Pelodiscus sinensis: one gene and its partners. The protein of the gene in region 3 interacts with the protein of the main gene of each other region in a biochemical or structural test. Links are inferred from orthologs where the notes say so. Each region holds a gene or a part of one and is shown on either strand. Other genes may lie near its edges.

Region 1 (7,196 bases), on a different chromosome or scaffold from region 3:
AAATACAAGAGAAACTATCAGATGGCTTTTGTTCAACTCTACTTGTGGCCTGATTTTTGTCTTGTAATGAATTATTCAAGTAAAGGGGTCTAATGTCTCTAGTGTCACCAGGAGAGCCAACCGTTTTAGACAGTCGAAGTCCACTGACTGATGTTGAAGTGAACCCTGTAGAAGTTGCTTGATCTTCATTCTGTGCCAGTTCAGTAGGAGAAATAACTAATCGATGTGATGTTTGATAAGGTCCTCTGCTTGGCAGGGGACCCAAACATGTTGGAGAAGTTGGTGGGGTTGTCGAAGGATTCCTAGGAAAGATTACCAATGATGAAAAACGCCGTAGTGGAATTTTAGTTTTCCTCCTCATTGGCAATTTCATTTGCTCCAAACCATCTTGATCAAAAGCAGTATTATTTTTACTTCTACATGAAGTTTCCTGAGATATATTGTTCCTATAGGAATTACATTTGTATGCCGTGCTTCTATATGAAGAAGTACTATATACAATATTACTACAGAAAGTATCACCACCTGTGGAAAGAGTGCAACTACTACTGTCACTGATGATACTGTTGCTGAATGAGTCTCCATCACTAGTGATACTTGCACACGATTCATAGTCACTCCCAGTGCTACTGAGGTATCCAGTGTTATTGGCTGCAATATCACCTAGATTAGTATTGCACATGGTAGCATTGCTTAAATGGCTGCTACTATTTAACATATTAGATCTGTAATCAGCCATATTCCTGCTACAAGTGTTTCCTTCATTACCAACACTGATGAAAGGGTCTTCACTAGCAACTACTGCATCAGATTGAAAACATTCACTATACCTTCTAGACTGCAGGGAAATCTGCAGTGAGGTGCTCTTTTTGTTGTTCTTTTGCAGTGAAGAAACAGTTGAATGCTGCTGTTGATTAATTATTTCCTGCATTGTAGTTGGAAAGCCAGCTTGCCTGGGAGTCAGCTTCATTTCTATAATATCAGGTGCAGAATTCTGTGAAGGTCTTTGGAAATACACATGAATGTTACTATCCAAACCATCGCCAGAGGTTTCTGATAACGGATCAGTGTTGCTTCTTCGGGCTGCAAAATGCAATCTTAACCGTCGTGCCATTTGTTCTCATTTGCACACATGTTAGCAAGTAAGAACCATAAAGCTCCTTTTGCAGAAAGGCTAGAGGCAGCTGCACAGAACTGTGATCCAGTTCAAACACATTGCAAAAGTGAGATCCCATGAAAGATGCAGCCTTTGTCCCTATTTCGGCAAGACAGTAACTAGCACCTCCTAAAACAAGTCAGCCATTCCTTGAACTGTGGTTTCTGGGCTGTCTGTTTGTAGACAGAATGCAATCACTTAAAAAGCACTTGATTTCCAACGACCATCAAGATTAACTCAGCTGCTGTATACTGACACGCTGCCAAACTTGTTTCAATGTTACCTTCTGTAATGTACATAAATGAATATAACCCAAGAATATTCCAGCTCTCAGGAGTTTAAAAACAGAAAATTTTGCAGCACTTACACTAGCTTAACCAACATGTCTATGCTCTCTGCGGCAGCGTATGACTACTAATATTTTTACCCACAGGTTTAGAATTACAGGAAGTTGGTAGCAATGAAGTCCCTTATAACAGAGTATCAAATCTAGGATTGAATTGCCAAATAGTAACCCATGCAAGTAAACTACATCTGGTTATGCAAAAACCAATGAACTAAGCCATTTCATACTAACAAAAGGTTAAAATTAGAGTTATTTTGAGAGTCCTAAGAAAACTACTGGAATTACACTTAATATGGTTCACAGTTCATGGAATCCTACAGTGCCACATTACTTCAGTTTTTAACAAAGATATAACTGGGTTAAATAAAACCATAAAATTTCCTCCTGATTAAAAGCTTGTCGCTCAAGGTTTCAGTGAAGCCCAGAGGTTCTTTTCTAGTGAGTATATTTTAGTCTTTCAGGTTAAAAGTGTGCTGAGTTAGACTTTTCACACTTTTACAACTTTTTACATTTCAAACTCAAGTGCTTAAATTGTTGGTCAGCAGTCCATGTTCTGGACTAACGTCTGGTTATCTACGAATTAGAGAGGCAGAGTATGAAATGTTCAACAATGCTTTTGGTGTGAAATCTTCAGGTCCGTACCTACAGAGATTTTATATGTATTTATCTCACACACACAGTTCATATGAGGTCTTTCTACAGCTGTACAGTATATGCTGCATATTTAAACAACTGCTTATATAGCATACAATTCACAGATGAAGACTACTCCAAGCTACATTCCATAAGGTACTGTATGCACACTGTACAGTAATCTTATACATTCACAGTTAACTACAGTAACAAGAATAGAAAGGAGGTGCAATTTTAATAAAGTGCTTTGAGAGCCACTATGGAAACACAATTAGACTAATCAAACTAAAAATATACTGGTAATTTTCCCCAAAAATGAAAGACTAAAAATGACAATTTCTCCAGGCATTTGCCATATTGACAGAAAAGGCCCTTTGCTGGCACCTAGTGGGACTTTTGGAAAAAATGTAGTCTTGCTGTGAAGTGTCAATAGCAGTGAACAGAAATGATACTTCATGCAATACTAAATGCTAACATATTAAGAAGGAATGAATTACTGGTCTGGTAAAGCTCAAACAGGAGGAGAGAACACTAGACCATTTATCCCTTCATCATAGGTCAAACTGTTGGATATTTTCTGCTCAATATTTACATGACCTTTTCTATATTTTTGGTTAGTATGCAGTAAAAAGAACAGCTTTATCCCCTCTCCAAATAAGGGCCAGGACTAAAGTTAACACTACTTAGTTTGCACGCAAACAAGGTTTTTTTGTTAATACTCCAAGGTTCATTTAACCTCATTACCCACATTTTAATGGCTAGAAATTAATCAACATATAATAGCTTATTTACTGTCTTTTTTATAACAAACAGTTCAGCTATTCCACCAAGCATCACTAATCAAAGTTACAGTGTGGGTTTTCAAAGAGCTGTTTTGGTCACAGGTTCAGAAAGTTATGTATAACCATTAAGTAATACAATTTTTTTTTTTTTGAGTTTCAAGTTGATAAAGAAGAAGCCTTAAAAAAAAAAAAAACTAGAAACAAAGAGACTTAAGTATGACTCGGTTAATTTAGTCTACAGGTTAACAAAATTAAACTTATCAATTTACTTGAGGGGTGGGAGAAAGAGAGGGTAAAAGAAATGCTAGGCTCCTGGGCAAGGTGACTGCATTCCCAGAAGGGGCAGGACTGAGAATAGCCAGCCCTCAGCCTCACCCATAGACTGTGCTGGGTACTTCCCTCCCCCGCAACCAGCCCTCAGGAGTGTGCTCCTCAGGGCTGTGACCTCTATTTAAAGGGCCTAGGGTTCTGGCCACTATCACTGCTGCAGTAATAGCAGTAGTGGCCAGGAGCCCTGGGCCCTTTTGAATTGCCAGGCCCTGGGACAGCTGCCTTTTTTAGCACCCTCCCACCATCGATGGGCCTGAAGTTATCCAAGTCTGCTATAGAAAGTAACACTCTGATAAAAGTCTTAGCAACATTCACCACAAGAGAATTAGACTTTTAAGCATGATGTCTCCTCCTTTACTAAGAGCTATGCTAAGTAAAGCAGTCAGAGGTTTAGTCATGTAGTAGTATTTTTAGATTTAAGTGTGTCCCTTCACACTAGATAATACGTTTCTTGAAGCATGATCTTCCCTGGTTACTTTGATAATGAAATTACTTCAGATCCATTATGGTCTGGTTGATCATTGGCTTACTGATGTATGTTGCCAGCTCTTTCCTCACATCAACAATCCTGTTTTAAATCTCACAATCCAAGATTTTTGCAATAGTAATGACTACAGTTCACTGGTACTTTCCTCGCTGCATAGGTGTGAATACTATGTACTGGGAACACTTTCTCCCACATTAAACTGTTCTACTAGGAAGTAGTAACCATTGTTACCAGTCAGTATCCAGATTGTGAAGAAGTGCAATAGCAAAACTTATGTCTCACATAGTTTAACAGTTACCCAGTTATGGATAGCAAAACCAGCAGTGTCTGGCCACCTATAGGTTTCTTGGCTAGTCACTGTCAATCCATCAGCTACAAAAGAATCCTGCTAGTGAATACAGCTGGACCTGACAATCTTGTCATTTAGCAATGAGTTCAACACAGAAGCCTTATTTACTTCCACCTCTCTCTCCAGATTGCTCTACTTCATGAGCATTACTGCCATGCTTGCTTTCTAAAAATCACAATGAGGAACTTCACAAGACAAGAGGTTATAAAGCCCTGAACTGCCATTCTTTTGACAGATTCTCAGAGGCTAGTGCTAATAGAGAATTTTGCCTTTTCTCTAATCTTAGGCAGATGAAAGTACATGCTGAAAAATAATCCATGAAGCTTGCTGGCAGTGTAATGCAGGCCTGTTTGGTGTGGCACTCTGATCCCTTCTAATGGTACCTAGAACATCTCGAGATTGAGGCATTTACTACAGCCTGAGCTAATCGTCATTTGGCCTTTAGCTCATGCAACATGGGTTTATTCAGTAAGCTTCAGAGGTCTAAAGTTTGATCCCACCTGTTGACAACCAGCTGCAGTTGAGATAATAAAAATGATTATTGCTGAACACATTAAGTGTGAGAGAAGGCACTGCAATCCAGAAAGGCAACATTGTTATTAAAACTATACCACAGATTAATACGAGGTTTAGTTTTAAGATGGATTTGTCAAGATCAAATTGTGTCAAACCTAACAGGGTAACAAGCCTTATGGGATGGGAGGAGCGGTAGATGTGGTTTACCTTGACTTTAGTAATGCTTTTGATACAGTCTCACATGTTCTCCTTAAAACAAGAAAAACACAACCTAGATGGAGCAATCATAAAGATGGATGCATAACTGGTTGGAAAACCATTTCCAAAGGCCAATGAGGTTCAACAAGATAAGCGCAGAGTCTTGCACTTGGGACAGAAGAATCCCAAGCACTGTTATAGGTTAGGGACTGACTGGCTAAGCAGCAGTTCAGCAGAAAAGGACCTGGGGATTACAGTGGACGAGAAGCTAGATATGATTCAACAGTGTGCTCTTGAAGCCAAGAAGGTTAATGGCATATTAGGGTGCATTAGAAGGAACATTGCCAGCAGATCTAGAGAAGTGATTATTCCACTTTATTCAGCACTGGTGAGGCTACATCTGGAGTACTGCATCCAATTCTGCCCTCATCCCGACTCCCTGCCCCCATTACAGAAGAGACATGGACATCCTGGAGAAAGTTCAGTAGAGGTCAACAAAAATTATTAGGGAGCTGGAGCACAAGGAAAGGCTTAGGGATTTGGGCTTGTCTACTGAAGAGAAGAGTGAGAGGGCATTTGATAGCAGCCTTCAAGTACCTGAAGGGAGATTCCAAAGACGATGGAGATAAGCTGTTCTCAGTAGTGACAGATGACAAAATGAGGAACAATGGTCTTAAGTTGCAGTGGGAGAGATCTAGGTTGGATATTAGGAAAAGCTATTTTAATAGGAGGGTGGTGAAGCACTTGAATGGGTTCCTTATGGAAATGGAAGAATCTCCATCGCTAGAGGTTTTTAAGTCCTGGCTTGACAAAGCCTTGGCTGGGATGATTTAGTTAACGTTGGTCCCGCTTTGGGCAGGGGGCTGGACACAATGACCTCCTGAGGTCTCTTCCAACCCTAATATTCAAAGAGTGATTCAGTCAAGCTGGAAAAGCATACTGAGTGGAGTCCCTGAGGGATTAGTTCGAGGTCTGGTTCTGTTTAATACGTTCAGCAACGGTTTAGAAAATGACACTTAAAGTTCGCATACAATACCAAGCTGGGAGTGTTTGCAAGTGCTTTGGAGGACAGGATTAGAATTCAAAGTAATCTGACAAACTGAAGAAATGGTCTGAAGTAAATAGAATGAAATTCAAAAAGGATAAATGCAAAAGTACTCCTCTTAGAAAAGAAAACCAATCAGTTGCACACATACAAAACGGGAAGCGGCAGTGTAAGCAATTTAGACTGCTATCGAAAATAAGATATAGGTGCTTTTAGAAATTACACCTCTAGTTAACAACCAAATCCCAGTGCCTTTTGAGTACTTCTATTATAGTTTGAGGGAAAGCTGATGCACAAAACTTCAAAAGTCATTCTAGAGGTTCATTTGCCAATCTGCTAAAACAGCTGATGCTCTTGATGGCCAGTCTCCAAGAAGGCAGATTAAAAAAAAAAAAAACAATATTTTTATAATATATTAACTATTTAGCTAAAATTAGCAAGCATCAAAAACAGAGTTCTAAAAATAAAATGTATTTTAGACATTCTCAAATTTAAGGGTTACATTTACTAATGTAATTTAAGAAATATGCTGTATCATTGAGCTTTCAAGTTGCTAAGTGAAAAAGGTGCTTCTTTTTTTAAAAAATATACAAAATAGGGGAAAGCCTATCTTTTGATATCAATTCAAACTGTCAGTTTTGGTTTAACAGAAAAGATTTTGCCCTAATTATTTTTAGATTCAGCTTACATAGCTGGTGAAGAGAAAATATTTTCTTTATTTGGACTAGTTCATTCAAAGTTAAGAAAATGAGTTGAAAAAGCAGGGAAGTTTGTTTTCTTCCATCTATGACTTAAAATAAGGTTGGAGAGGATAAGCTCTCCTAATTCTAAAGAATTTGAAGGACATAGGGCCAGAGTTTCAAAGATATTTAGTCATCTCAAGCTGCAGAGAAGTGCCTAGTGAGATTTTTAAATACACCCAGGAAGAATAAGTGCCAATATACGCCTTTAGAGTCCTAAGTAGAAAGTTTGACCCACATTGACCAGAAAGTCAACTAACTACAGTTAATACTTTAATATATTTTTAAATTTAAGATGTATTTTGATAATTTTTATTTTCTGTATCCAATAAAAAGATCAATTTTAAAATGTTCTCTATACATTTTAAACTGAATTCCAGTTTTCATCCAATCATAGGATGACAAATCCATAGTGAAGGCGTATTGTAAAAAAATATTAACAAATTTGAATAAGAGTATGTTAAATTTTATTTCTTAAATAGATATTTATAGGGATCTAGTGTATCCTCTGGCTAGCCAACAGTAGTACACCAACTTTAGTTAAAAGGCTATATTTGGTTTAATCAACATACCAGTTCATGATAATGAACCTTTTAGGTAAGATACAACTGCAA
Region 2 (7,196 bases), about 15 Mb from region 3:
CATTAGTTTGATTCATTTCTTTCAGTTCTAGTCATCTGGAGCATTACTTTTAACTATTGGAAGTCCAAAAGAACAAGGTCACACAGCTAAGAGTGCAGGTCAACTGTTTAAGATGTTTACTGTACTGTGGAAAGCAGCAACTCTGAAAATGACATGAGGTCATGGTAGATAAACAGTTGAATATGACCTTCCAATGTGACACTGTAGCTAAAAGGGTGAATGCACATTAGATGGATAAACAGGGGTATTTCAGGCAGAAGCTAGGATGGGCTATGTACAAAAGTAACAGCATTACTGGATATTGTGTCCTGTTTGGATGGCCACACTTCTAAAAACAAGCTGACAAGATGGAAAGAGATATAAGAATGATTCAAGTGTTTGGAAGACTCGCCTGACAACGTGTGCTCTGTGTGACAGGAGGAGGTTAAAAGATGGCTGGACGACGCTACATGGGAAAAAGATTCTTGACAACAGAGGGGTTGTTAATGCAGCAGATAAAGCTAGAAGTTGATCCAACTGCTGGATATTCAGGCTAGAAATGACTTGGAAATGCATCTTTAAATCAAGATTAGACATCTCTTTCTAAAAGCTTCACTCTAGCTCAACTCCCAGATCTGTGCTCAATGCAGGAATGTCGGAGATGGAGTCTCAGGCTTAGGTAATGCTGGTGATCAGACTGGATGGTCAATCCTTTTTGGCCTTGGTCTCTATAAACTCTGCATTCTGGTTTGATCTCCCAGGTGAACAAGAATTTAGCAGAATTAGATGGGGGGGGGGGGTCCACGATTCAGAGACGGCACCAGGGTGGGGATGGGGGAAGAGGAACTCTCCTAGAAAAATAAGTTATTGGGATTGTCTGGTTTACAGAGCAGATGAAGAAATGACACATGATAAAAGTATATAGAAAAATGACAGGGATAGAGAATGGGGATGGGCACATCATTTCCATGTCTTGTAGCATAACTGCAATGAAAATTTCAAGAACACTTCAAAACCAATCAAACAACATTCTTTTTCATGTAATACACCACCAGCCTCTGGAACTCACTGGCACTTGACACAGTTAAGTGCAGGATCTCAAAGGAGACTGGAAGCTCATAAGGAGGAGACCATCGAGGGTCAACCCGAAAAAAAGAACAGGAGTTTTGGAAACCTCCCATTTCAAAAGTTAAGCTATCTTCTAAGTATTGGGGGAACCCACCTCCTATCAGGTTATTCCAAAACAATGTAAAAGTTTTTACACGTTCCACTGAAACACTCAGCTGCATGTAACCCAGGTCTGATCTAGTGTGGCAATTAATTCCTATGGCTGTGGTATTGTTTAAGTGGGAACACTTTGAAGAGTATAAATTAAGAATACCCTCTACCAAATCTAGCAGGTGAAATCTCTGCAGAACTTGGGAGGGTGACAATATAGACATATGAGAGATTATTATTTCAATAAAGTGCGTATAGAAAAATACATGATGTTTGCACTAGAATGAGGCATTTTTCATACTAGAGATTTTTTCTCCAACTCTGGCAGTGTTTCAGTAGAACCAACATTTTCTGGGTCAGGAGGTCTCTCCTCTGTGCCTAGCACTGCAGAGTGAGAAAAAATCCTTGCTCACAAGAGCTCACTCCCCAAGTATATTTGAGAGATATACTGGGAGAGAAAAATGCACAAAAATGTACCTTTATATTTGTAGGTACCAAGGGCCACACTCGCAGATCAGCACATCCCTGCAACATGTGTCCACACCAAGGCCAAACTTGATCCTCAATACAGTTATATAGATACCGGAGATCATTCTGATTCTGGGGCAGTGCCCTGGGTATTATCCAGAACAGTGTTTCTCAATCGGTGGTACAAGTATCCTCAGAGGTACTCAAGAGAAGTTTGGGGGTAGATCAACAACTGAAATTTGGAGAAAACTGATTTTTTAAAAAAGTTTTACAGCACTTTATTATTTTTGTATTTTTTACACCCAAAAATTTCATCGCCAGCTAAGCTACGATTAAATTATTTAAACAAATGTGTTGCAATGGTAGAAAACATTGCATGTCTGAAAACTGTAGGTACTCAAGGTACTTATGGTTTTTTTTTTTTTTTTTTAAAGGGGCTACCTTATACAAAAAAAGGTTGAGAAACACTGATCCAGAGTCTCTCCCACCCAAAGTGTGACAGCTCTCGCCTTCAAATGCTGCCCTGGGATCCTTGACCATGACCTGAAATGGAAGGGATTATCCCACAGCTTTGGGGCACTCCCTTTAACCAGGAGATGAGTTGGCAGTTCCAAAATGACAGGCTAACATTTCCCTCCCTAGGGAACCTAAGATGCATCCCAAAAGCATGGCAAGCACTAGAGATGACCAATCATTCCTACAATCTGGGTTCAAAGCCTCTAAAAGGAAAGAGATGCCCAGCTCCACGTGCTTACTGCCCCCCTCACATTCCCTGTTTCCCCCTTTCATAAATGATGCAGCCTTATCCCTTTTTCCAACTGAGGTCCCCCATTGGCCGATTCTTCTATCCTCTGCATTGGGCCCATTTCCTCCTATACACTGGTCTCTTCATTAGCCTTCTGAGACTCCCGCCCGTCCTCCCTTTCCACACGGCCCCGTGTCCCTACGTCTCCCAAGATATCCCCCGTGCCTCTCATATACCCTCTAGCCCCTCCTCTTTAAATCCCACCCCCATCATTTAGCCCCACCCCCTCACTTACGCCATTCATCTTCGTTATCCTGGTTGCGACGCAGCACGGGCAGCCGGCAGCCCTCGGTCACCTCTCCCTGCGGGCGGGATGCAGAACAGTTAAACAGGAACCCACAGGAATCCCCCCGCCGGACCCCACCCTACACATCCCACTCACCACCTCCGCCATCTTGAATGCTCGCCGGCGAGCGGGGTCTTCTCTTCCGTTCCCCGTGCCGGGACGTTTCCGGGAACGCGTGGGGGCCCTTCCGGTCTGTTATAGCTACTTCCGGTCCACTCAGTATATGTTGCTAGCGTTCGGCCCTGCTCAGAATTACTTCCGGCAGCATGATTAACTCCTTCCGGTCCCAGCGAGGACCCGCTCCGGGGCTGTTCGTGGCGTTCGCCTGAATCGGAAAGGAATCTGAGGAGTTGGCGGGACCGCAGTTAGCGGGCGAAGCACGAATGGCGACAGCGGGAGATTGCCCCACGTACGTGCGCAGCTAGCTGGGCGCATGGGAGAAAATCATGTGACTCGGACGTGACGAGGCCTCTGGAGCGTTTAGCCTCACGAGGCCGGTTGAGGGCCCGGCAGCGTTTCGAGGGGTCCCCGAGATTCGGCTTCCCCATCGCCTTCCCTCCCTCCCAGTTTCTAAAACCGCAACCAAGTAGAGGGGGGGCCTTCAGTGGAGCCGCGTGACACGGGCCCCTGGAGCCCTGGGCCCGACAGCTGCTGGGGCCCACAGCCACCTAACTTGTAGTAGCCAGAGACTCGGAGCCAGGGCTCAGGAGTTCAAGCTTCTAACATGTCCACCTGCTTCCCAGCCCTTCCTTATTGACCTCGTATCGCTGCCGGGGCAGGCGAAAAGCACCCTTTCTGTGTCCAGGTAGGAAGCTTAAAGCAGAACTAGGACTAGAGCCCAGCTTTCTAAGTTGGTGTGGCAGCATCTGTCTCCATAGATTTCCAGTAGTTTGCTGTGGCACCACTTGCCTTGCCTCAATGACCCCAGGAATCTTTAATCTTCTTTTAGAGGGCTTTCTAGTTCTGTCTTGTAAATCACCCTCATATCAAGTTCTGACTTAAAGAGGCTGTTAATAGGTAGCCTTTTCTCTATGCTTGCCTAGGATCCCCATGTTGCAAGGTGCTGTAAAAACATAGAACCTGCCTCACAACCTATAAATCCAGAAATGACAGGTGGATACAGCCATGAACAATGAGACAATCTGGTCTGCATGCTGGGCAATGGGTTCACCACCAACAATCTACATGTCATGCTTTTTGAAGCATCCCATCAAAGGATAGTTTGAAGGAGCTCAATGAGATAGCTTTGCATGCACTTACAGGGAACTCATAAACATGAGTGATAGCATAGGAGAAAGGATGAAGAGGCTTAGTAGAAATATAATAAGTATGCAGTAGGGATGTGAGTGTGTATCCAAGTACACGATTAATCAATGAGTCTGGGCTCATTGCTTAACACTGTGTTACACGCCCCCCCCCCTGCTGCCTTTGACACATAGGCAACAGAGGGGGGGAGGAGCCAGCTTTTAAGATGGTTCCCATGTGTACCAGCTCCTGTCAAACCAACCTCCTCCCGCACTGTTGCCTCAGTGGGTGGGAGCTGGTATGTGCAGGTAGCCTAGCCTTCCCCCCCCCCCCCCCCCCGTACTGCTGCCTCCCACAGAGCGGTGGGGGATAAGGAGGAGGTGGGAGCTAGTGCTCACAGGAAGCCTCCTGCCCCCTGCATTGCTTCCTCTGATACAGAGGCAGCAGGGGCGGGGGGGGGGGGCAGTGGGAGGGAGGACAGGAGCTGCTGCTGACGACAGGGACCTGACTTAAAAACCAGCTCCTTGCCAGCACTGGCTTCCGCCTTCCTTCCCACTGCATGTAAATGTGTAGCCACTGGAAAATTCAATGGTTATAGATTTAAAATGTGTTTATTTGTGTAACATCCCTTTTAGGCAGTTAATGCTTGGCAGCATGGGCTGAAAATGAAAATGTATAGGTGCTGGAAGTCAGGGTGCTGCTGCACTCTTTGGCTTGAAGTGGTTTCCATTATGTTTGTGGCTTACAGTTTGGTTCAATGACTCTCAGCACCTTCTTGTAAAAACTGTTCCAGCAGCCCTGTAAGAGATGAGTCAGATGGGGATTGGCAATGGAGGGCCTTGAAAGGGAAGAGAAGCAGCTTAGACTGATACAGGAGAAAAGGGAGGGCCAAGGAAGGGAAGCAAAGAGAAGTATGTCATGCTCAAAGTGAGAGCCTGAAGAATGATATTTGCACCAGAAAGGAAATGAAGCACAATCTCTCCAAGGTTATGTCTACACTGGCGGGTTTTTGCGCAAGAACAGCCATCCTTCCGCAGAGCCTCCACACTGCTCGCCAGCTCTTACACAAGAAGATTTACAGTAAAGTGTGGTAAGAGAGGGCTTCTTGTGCAAGAACTATGCTCTTTTCTAACAAATGTAAGCTCTCTTGCGCAAGAGGGCAGTGCGGACGCCCAGCAGGGGTTTCTTGTGCAAGAAAGCCCTATAGCTAAAATGGCCATCAGAGCTTTCTTGAGCAAGACAGCGTCCACACTGCCATGGATGCTCTTGTGCAAAAGCACATGACAGTGTGGCCGTGTTCTTGTGCAAGAGTTCTAGCACAAGAATCCTTGTGCAAGATGTTCTTGTGCAAGAAGCTGCCAGTGTAGACATAGCCCAAGAATTTGCTGGGGGCAGAGGTAAGGTGATATGGTTGTGTCCTCTTTAAGGGAGGCAGCATGAGTTTATTAGCTAATGGTGCCTATGGTGTCCTATAAACAGGGAACAGAACAACAGTGTTGCTAAGAAATAGCCTTAATGGGCCACCTCTGGGATTTGAATCCCCAAAGGCAACTGCAGGGCCATTTATTCAACCATTTACTGCTGTGGACATTTGGCCTAAAAAACCCAATGGGGAGGCCACAGCAGCTGTAAGACACATGTTTCCTGGTTCCTTTGTGGCCTTCTCATAGCCTATAGGGCACTATAATGTCCATGCACAGCCCCATATGTAGCCTTGTATCACCCCCACTCTGGTCCCTGTATAATGCAGTAGGCCCTACCCTACTCGTAGTATGGTTTATGTCTCATGAATTGGTCCCTCTAGTCAAGGGCTCCATAATGGTCCCGTGTGTGATTCCTGAATGACCCCAGAGCACTCTTGGTTAGGTTCTTAATAGCCCCCACGTTCCCAGCTGCAACATGGCCCCGCCGCCTCTCTTGGCTTTGCAATTTGCCCTGGCTGCCTTCGTCGCTTCTGCGCCTGCGTGGAATCCCCCCCCCCGCGCTCGTTTGCATGAGGCGGGGCTTTCCCAGCAGCGGGGCGGATCACGTGCTGCGGGCATTTCCGCGTGCGGCGTAGTTTGCGAACGGATACGGCGGGTGCTGGACCCGATCCCGCCGGAGGACCCCGCGTGGACCACGCCCCTGGCCCCGCCCCTGACGCGGACCCCCGATTGGGCCCGGAGCACCGCTTCCGCCTAGGAACCCTTCGAGGGGCTGGACCCGCCCACGATTGGACTCGTCTCCCGCCCGGACAAGCTCCTCGGGACGCCCCACCAGCAGCCCTCTCCCGAGTGGGGCTGGGACACGGGGTCGGGATCCCCCTCCCGCCTAGGACCCGCACAGGAGCCACAATCCTCCCGTTCCCTCTCAGAATTCTCTCCGTTGGGGGCCTCGCCCCACAGAGGCCCCCATCCCCTTGGAGTCTAACCCCCCCCCCCCCCCGCCTGCCGTTGTACTGAGACACCCCCCCGAGCTCGCACACGTCCTTCTTGTGGACTGGGGTTTGTTTCCTGAGCCCCGCGCAGGAGCCCTCCCCAGCCTCGTATTCCCTGGATTCTTCTGGCTCCAAAGCTGGGAGCCCCCTTCCTTGACTCCCTCCAGCCAGGGAGCACCCACCGCAGTACCTCCTGTATTCCTAGCCTGGAACCTAGCCTGACTTATGGCAGAAATGGAAGGTAAGTGTATACGCTCACCCCAGCAATAGGGACTTTCCTCAAATTCAGGACCCCCATTTAACTCTGGGGTATCTCTTCTCCTTACCTTCATCTCTGGAGGGTTTGCATGAAATACTCATACAGCGAGTTACTGGGACAGTTGGATGTGTAAACGCAGTTGAGCTCATACAGATGTGAGTGTGGGGGGAGCACCCATTACTGGAGTGCTGGTTATGAATATGGGGGGCTTGAAGAGAAGCTGGGATTCCCCAGGAGTCTGGGTTTCCCCCACTTTGTCCCTTCTCCCCCCACCCCACCCATTATTTCCTCAACTGGGCCTCTGTTTTGTTTTGGAAAAGTATTGTGATGGTGGCTTGTGAAAACTGCTTCCTAGGCCTTGGTTGGCAGTGATTTCCCTGGTTGCTTTGGGGGTAAGGCAGGCACAGTGGATTTGGGATCTGAAATGTGGGAAAAGGAGAAGAGGGGGAATTGGTGTCTCTTAAGAAAGGCCAACACACTGGGAAAAACACAGGTGGCAGGATCCTTCAGACTGGAGGAA
Region 3 (6,954 bases):
AGTCACTCAAGTTTCAAATACCAAATACCCAAAGCTAACTAATGACAACTGAGTTACAGAATAAGAAATAGCCAGTAAAATAATTCTGAATTTTTCGAATAGCTAATACACCTGAAAAAAATCAAAAGGTGCTTCCAGACAAATTTCCAGTGACTAGTTTGCCTATCTTTGTACAAAACAATTTTGCTTCTACTTTTACACTATTTATTGATTGACTGATTAAACTGTTGGTTAAAACGATTCTAGTACTGACTATATAGAATACATTTATACTGAGATCAACTGAATTGGGCCTGAATTTAGGAACTGATCTATAGAAACTGAAAGAAAAGTCAAGTAGAAAAAACTTAGATTCAGAAGCTATGTCAATATCGGTATCATAACGCAAAAGTTAAAAACTGAAGCCGAAATATTGATCAATGTTACCATCTTATAGGCTTTTTGTTGTGGCGTCTGACTATATTAAATACTTAACAGGGAGGAAGAGAATATTTTTTCATAGAAAGTATATCTAATGACAAACTTTTCATGCTACACTAACATCTGACACAGCATAACATACCTTTCAGATCAAGTATTATTTATCAAGGAATGGATGCTTTCTTCTAGAGCTACTCACAGGAATATATAAAAATGTAAACCAATAATGCAATATTTTAATAAACTGATGTCTAAGAAGATTTAAATCTGAAAGTAGCTCCTATTAGAATACCTATCCACAGTTATTTTGATGTTTACCTGCTAATCTGAACATCTAGGTCTGACCATTTTATCAAATACCTCCCCCAACTGACAACATTCTAATTTACTTTGCACAGAATTTTTTAAAAGTGATTCTTCATTGTCTCATACTTACATTTCTGCTAATTTTTCACACTAATCTCCAGTAGGTTAGAGGGCATAAAAATGTTCACTATAACTATGCACAAGATATTCTAATATCAATAAGGGAACAATAGACATGACTAGTTTGAAAAGGTAGACTGGAACTACAAGTTATACAAGTTCCAGTGTACCCCAGGGGCCACACTGGGTCCTCTTCTTCTAACAAGTAATGCATTATTATCATCTTTAAAAAGTTACTCTATGCATATTATTATGCGTAGGTAGACTGTAGGGGGAAATATATTTTTGAACATTGGTTCATATTTCCGACAAACATTAATGTAACATTCCAGACAAACAACTCTTTTGGAGATGTAGAGAGTAGGCCACAAACAAAATGTATCAATCCACATTCTCTGTTTAAATATCTGGGCAATTATAATTGATCTTTTTAATTTAACTTAAATGTATCAAGACTATTAAATAATAAGTCCAAAGGTAAGTAACAATTGATCATTTCTTTATAACTTCCTATGCTTACCTCCAAATGGCTACACATAGATATCTGTCTAATTTCATGATATAATGTTATAATAAAATACTATCACAGCACTGTATCATGTGCATATACTGCCTTGAAGTTATAACACTACAAGAACTTGCAGTTCCCAGCTATAGAATACCGTGGAGAGAAATGACACCAGGAGGATTACAAAATACTGCAAGCCTGGGGGATGCCACCCATACATAATATATTTCAACATAATATCTCTGCTGTGGCATGACTAAACACAGGACTTCCTGACTCTTCTTGATTGAGAAGTCAAAGAGAAAATGATGCTTTTCATTCATTATCAGGTAAGTAAAGTGAGTAACACTCCCCAGCTATTTCCCCTCTCCACATACTGTAACAAGGGAAATAGCCACCTGCAAATATCACAATGTACCAGAGGCTCACAGTTTATTGTTTATATACCTCAATATCACACATATAGCAATAATGGACGTATGTCTCTGTGTGCATTCCCACATCCTCATACAGCACTCATTTACCCTGTCCCTCTGCCTATCCCCAATACACTTTATTAGAGACGTAACAGTATAGTCAATTCACTCATCAACCAATAAGCAAAATCTTATTGGTTAATGCTATAGACTACACACACTCCCACCAGTAAATTTTTTAGCAGGCTGGCCTCCGGGATCAACCCCCGCTGCAGCTCAGCATTTAAAGTGTATTAGGATCCAGGCGGGCAGGCAGGCCAGCTCAGTTCTGGGGTGACAGGCAGCTCTTCCATTAGGGGAGCTAGTTTTTAAACTGAAACGCCTCACAATCGATCTCCCGCCTGGCACCCCGCGTACAGAGACAGCAGCGCGGACTGCAGGGGGCTCCTCGGGAGTGGAGCCGGAACATACTGGCTGCTGGCCCCATCCCCGGGGAACTATAGAATAGTAGAGTATCTGCTAAGAATTCATGAGGTTAATCAACTGTTCAATTAACTGATATTTACCATCCCCACCCTTTATATTGCCTGCATGAGACTCAGCCCCCACCAGTATAATCCACCTCTTCATCACACAGCACCCAAGACCAACCTATGCTCCTAACTCCACAGGCCACCCAAAGGTAAAGCCTTGTGTGTATCTCACTGCCCCCTGATGCCCCCAAGGTCGCAGCTCCCCCTGGGGCTTGCATGCACCAAGTTCTTTATTCCTCCCCAAGCCCCTTTGGGAGCAGCGCCCTGGCCAGCGAGAGCCCCCCCGTGGGCACTAGCCCCATCCTCCCTCACTCATCCCGTGCCGCCATGCCCGCACTCCATGAAGCCCCCCCCCTTCATCAAGCCGCCCCACCAAAGAGCCCCCTGCCTCCAGCCCCAAATATCCCCCGGAGCACAGCCCTGCTTCCTGCGCCAAGGGATATGTCCCTCTCCCCACCCCCACAGCCCCAGCCGCCCCCGGGGTACACCCCTGTCCACCTCCACTCCAAAGAGACCCCCCCCGTCTGCTGCACTCCCCCCTCCCTGCCCGCAGAGAGCACCCCGCAGCCGCGCGCGCACTGACCTGGCGCTGTCAAGCCTCGGCAGGAGAAACTGTTCCCTTCTAGTGGGATAAACTCCCCCGCCCGGCCCGTCCTCCCGACGGGCGCCGCCTCCCTGCTCGGCAGGCGCCGCCTCCACGCCCTGCTGCTGGCCCTCCCCGAGCCTCGGGCCGCGCTGCCCTGCCCTGGCTGGGGGCCTCCTGCGCGAGCGGCAGCGTGGGCCGTTGGTTCCCGGCGCTGGAGCCTTGGCGGGAAAGGGGACCCTGAGGGGGACGGTGGAGAAGGGCCGGGGGCCAGGGCGCAGAAAGGCGTGTGGCACGAAGAGAGCTGGGGTATGTGGCATTAGGGAGTGTGTGGGATGCGTGGCTTCTCTTTCCTCTCACCCATCGCCACAGTCCGGCGAGTCCTGCCCATGCAGCCTCGAGAATCTCAGTGAAATTACAGATGTGTAGTGGAAGAGAGATTTTGGCCCCTACGGCCTTTGAAAGCTGAACTCTGCGGGTCTTTTCTTAAGTGTAACGGCGGCTGTGTCTAGACGACAGGGTTTTGTGGCTGAAAGTGGGCTTTTGGCGACAAAGCTATACCTGCTTCTACGCTACCGCTCTGTTCTATCGACAGGAAGGGTGTGTCTAGACTACCGAGTTTTGTCGACAGAAGTGGACTTTTGTCGACAAAACTATACCAGCGTCTACACTACCGCTGTGTTCTGTCGACATAACATTGACAGAACTCAGCAGTTTTGTCGACACTGGTAAACCTCATTTTACGAGGCATAACACCTTCTGTCGACAGAAGGTGTTATTGCCTGTAACATTGCGTCCAGACTACGGAGTTCTGTCGACAAAGCAGCTTGCTTTGTCGACAGAACTCAATGTGTCTGGACGCTCTTTGTCGACGGAAGTTTTGTCGACAGTATCTGTCGACAAAACTTCCGTCGACAAAACGCGGTAGTCTAGACGTACCCTAAGTGAACAGAACGCGGCAGTTTTGTCGACGGCGGTAAAACTCATTCTACGAGGAATCATGCCTTTTTTCGATAGCACTCTGTGGAAAAAAAGGCACTATTGCAGGCAAACTGCTTTTTTGAAAGAGAGTATCTAGACTCTTTCGAAAAAGTGGCTTGCTTTGTTGACAGTACAGGTTGTAGTCTAAATGCTCTTTTTCGACAGTATCTGTCGACAAAGCCTCTGTCGAAAAAGGCGTGCAGTCTAGATGTACCCTCAATGCAGGATTTCTAGCTGCCCAATCAGTAGTCGCTTTCCCTTTCCCTTTCCAGTTTTCTGTCCCGCATGGAGTTTCTCTTTTTGTCACCTCAGGGCATGCAATGTTCTTACAATGGGATTAGAGAGTTCCCTGAAAATGTTCATAGTAATAGTGAAGTTGTATATCCCTTCCTCCTTTTTATTTCATTTTACAAGGGTCCTTTTCCCACAGCATTGCAGAAGAAGAATGGTCCCAGAGCCAGAGATGTAGGGCTTCCTTCAAGAGGCTCCAGAGAGCAAGTTCAAACAGGCAGCATAATACCTCTTTCCAGTCCACCTTCTCTACTGCTTTTGGCAAGCAGATGGAAAAGAAAGTCATAAGCTATACTTTTAGAGAGTCATACTGTAATTCAAAATGCCCCCAGGATACAATAGTTTCTCTCTGAATACTCTTGATCTCTTGGACATCATTAGGAGATTCCAGACAATCCTCCAACATGTCTCATAGTTCTTAGTCATGAAACGTCTTAAAAGGAAATTCTACATTTGTTTTATTATTTGTACACCTAAAGCAATTGATAGGTTAGAGTTAAATACACCAATGTACCTAACCTATCTGTAGACAGTAGCATGGCCAAGAGCTTTTTGTTTATTGGCACAGTCTGTCTATCAGTAGAGGATTGAAGCAGTGTGTTAAAAATGCAAGAATTATCTATCTGCATAGGTTTGAAGTAGTTATTAATTTAGTCCTTGACACATCAGAGAGCTATTGCCAGCACATGCTCGGATATTTTTTGGACAATTAGTTTAGAAATCCATTGTGTAGCAATATTTTACCTCATTCTGCTGTAGTTTTCCCTATGTATATTATAACTTTTAAATGCTGCATTAATTCCAAATGGTTTCAATAAAGGGTCAGAGGCCTTTGTGCTAGGCGCTATAGATATAACACCTAGACCCGTTTCTGCACCAGAAAATTTACAATCTAGGATGATGATAAACAGAATAAACAGACATACGTGGAAAGAGTAGGGATGGATGTAACAGTACAATGGGTACATTTTGTGTGAATTAGTCTCTGTGGTTCTATAGTCAAATCATAAACAAAATAATGGCTTATGCTCATTTTTTCAGATTTGTACTCACAAAGGAGGCAATGTGTGACACAAAAGTTCCATTCCTGCCTCTGACATTACCTTGCTGTGTGACTTTATCTAAATCATACTGGGCACATTTTCAGAGTAACTCAACTACTATTTAGGCACCTAAATGAAATGGCCAGATTTTTTTTAAATGCTCTGCCCCCAGCAGTTCCAATGCTTCTTTGCCTGATGTGTCACCAGCAGAATTAAACATTTTCTCAGTGGGAGCTACTGAGCTGCGCACTTCTGAAAATCTGGATATTTCATTTAGCCCAGTAGTTCTTAAACTGTACGTTAGAATCCCATTTCAGTGGGGTCAGATTACAGGCCCTCTTCCTGGAGCTGAAACCCTCGGACTTTGGCTCCTTACCTGGGGTGGAAAGGATTGGGCAGGCTCATGCTTCAGTCCCCCCTCCTGATGTTGTGTAGTAATTTTTGTTGTCAGAAAAGGGTCATGATACAATGAAGTTTGAGATCCCCTGATTTACCCCAAATAGTTGAACTCTCTTGAAAATCTGAGGATTAACATATGTGTTATTTTTTAATTTGTACACACAAACTTGTAGCCCAGCCAAATTTGGTTGGCATTTATGAACATATAATTAGGACCTTTAACTATGTGTATAAGGCCCTAAGAAATACACAACCAACTCAGAAAAACAACAAACTTCAGGTTTAGTTCAACTGCATGACTAAATGGCAGTATATCCAACTCCTGTTCAGACTGGTTTTAGAGAAATCAATCCACCTGAACGCTCAGAATATTCAGTTACAAGTATTACCGTCATTAGAACATACTCATCCTTTGTATAAGAACTTTTAAAACTCAGGAGTGCTTATTACCATTGGCCTATGTTCTCAGGACAGGACATTATCACCTGGTAAATACAGGGAGCAGGGTTTTTTCCTAAAAGCATGTAGTTTCATGGATTCATAGATTTTTAAGGTGACAAAGGACCAATAGATAAAGACCTACTCTACAACCTAAGCCATAGAATTTCACCTACTTACTGCTATATTGAGCTCAATAACTTAATGTTTGACTAAATATTGATTCAGAAAGATATCTAGTCTTGATTTCAAGACCTCAAGGGATGAAGAGTACTCCAGTTCCTTGGGTAGTTTGTTGCAATGGTTACTCACCCTCATTATACAAAACAACTTTATTTCTAATTTGTATTTATCTGGCTTGGTTTACCAACACAAGCTTGGTTTTTTACTTGTGCCAGTTGGTAACTGTATAGGCCAGCTATTTCCTATTGGGAGATTACAGTGATTTACCTAATGCTTTACGTGCACATTTTGTATAATTGTTAATGTTTTATAGTAAGAATGTAATGATCATGGACTAGTCATTTCATCTCTCAGTCTGTTACCCCTTTATCTTTTTTCAGTTTTGTCTAGATTGTAATTTTTTGGTGGCAGAGACAGTCTCATATTAAGTGTATGTAAATATTGGGGTTTGTAGATACAACTGTAATATAAATAAGAGTTAGTGCTGTGCTAGCATCAAGAAGACAGATGGTCATACTGTTAAAGCAGTGATACTTGGCCGAGGCTTGTGAATTGCAAGTATCTCTTCAATGTGTTTCCTGTGGTTCTTTGCAGCAGGTGATATTAACACCATGTGATTTAGTTAATAACCTAAGATATTAACCAATCAAGATGCTTTTACTATGTTATTAATCAGTTAAATTATCAGCTTGCACTAAGTTATAACTTATTTGTTTTGAGAATTATAAGTATA

What was found.
Region 1: of the proteins of PPARG (region 3) and NEDD4, one has a biochemical effect on the other in vitro, tested with the Homo sapiens proteins (2 studies listed by BioGRID). The link is inferred for Pelodiscus sinensis from reciprocal best matches to the Homo sapiens genes PPARG and NEDD4.
Region 2: the proteins of PPARG (region 3) and KAT5 form a complex in vitro, tested with the Homo sapiens proteins (2 studies listed by BioGRID, with this or other methods). The link is inferred for Pelodiscus sinensis from reciprocal best matches to the Homo sapiens genes PPARG and KAT5.

Annotation. Positions count from the first base shown.
Region 1 is NC_134724.1:28,002,316-28,009,511, forward strand, and holds the start of NEDD4 (E3 ubiquitin-protein ligase NEDD4), read right to left. Parts: upstream 3,010-7,196; 5' UTR 1,115-3,009; coding exon 1-1,114. UniProt on the Homo sapiens protein: E3 ubiquitin-protein ligase which accepts ubiquitin from an E2 ubiquitin-conjugating enzyme in the form of a thioester and then directly transfers the ubiquitin to targeted substrates. Specifically ubiquitinates 'Lys-63' in target proteins.
Region 2 is NC_134721.1:32,635,624-32,642,819, reverse strand, and holds the start of KAT5 (histone acetyltransferase KAT5), read right to left. Parts: upstream 3,010-7,196; 5' UTR 2,865-3,009; coding exon 2,853-2,864; intron 2,773-2,852; coding exon 2,706-2,772; intron 1-2,705. Other genes in the region: RELA (transcription factor p65), read left to right, coding at 6,643-6,658. UniProt on the Homo sapiens protein: Catalytic subunit of the NuA4 histone acetyltransferase complex, a multiprotein complex involved in transcriptional activation of select genes principally by acetylation of nucleosomal histones H2A and H4.
Region 3 is NC_134721.1:47,571,841-47,578,794, reverse strand, and holds the start of PPARG (peroxisome proliferator-activated receptor gamma), read right to left. Parts: upstream 3,007-6,954; 5' UTR 2,887-3,006; intron 1-2,886. UniProt on the Homo sapiens protein: Nuclear receptor that binds peroxisome proliferators such as hypolipidemic drugs and fatty acids.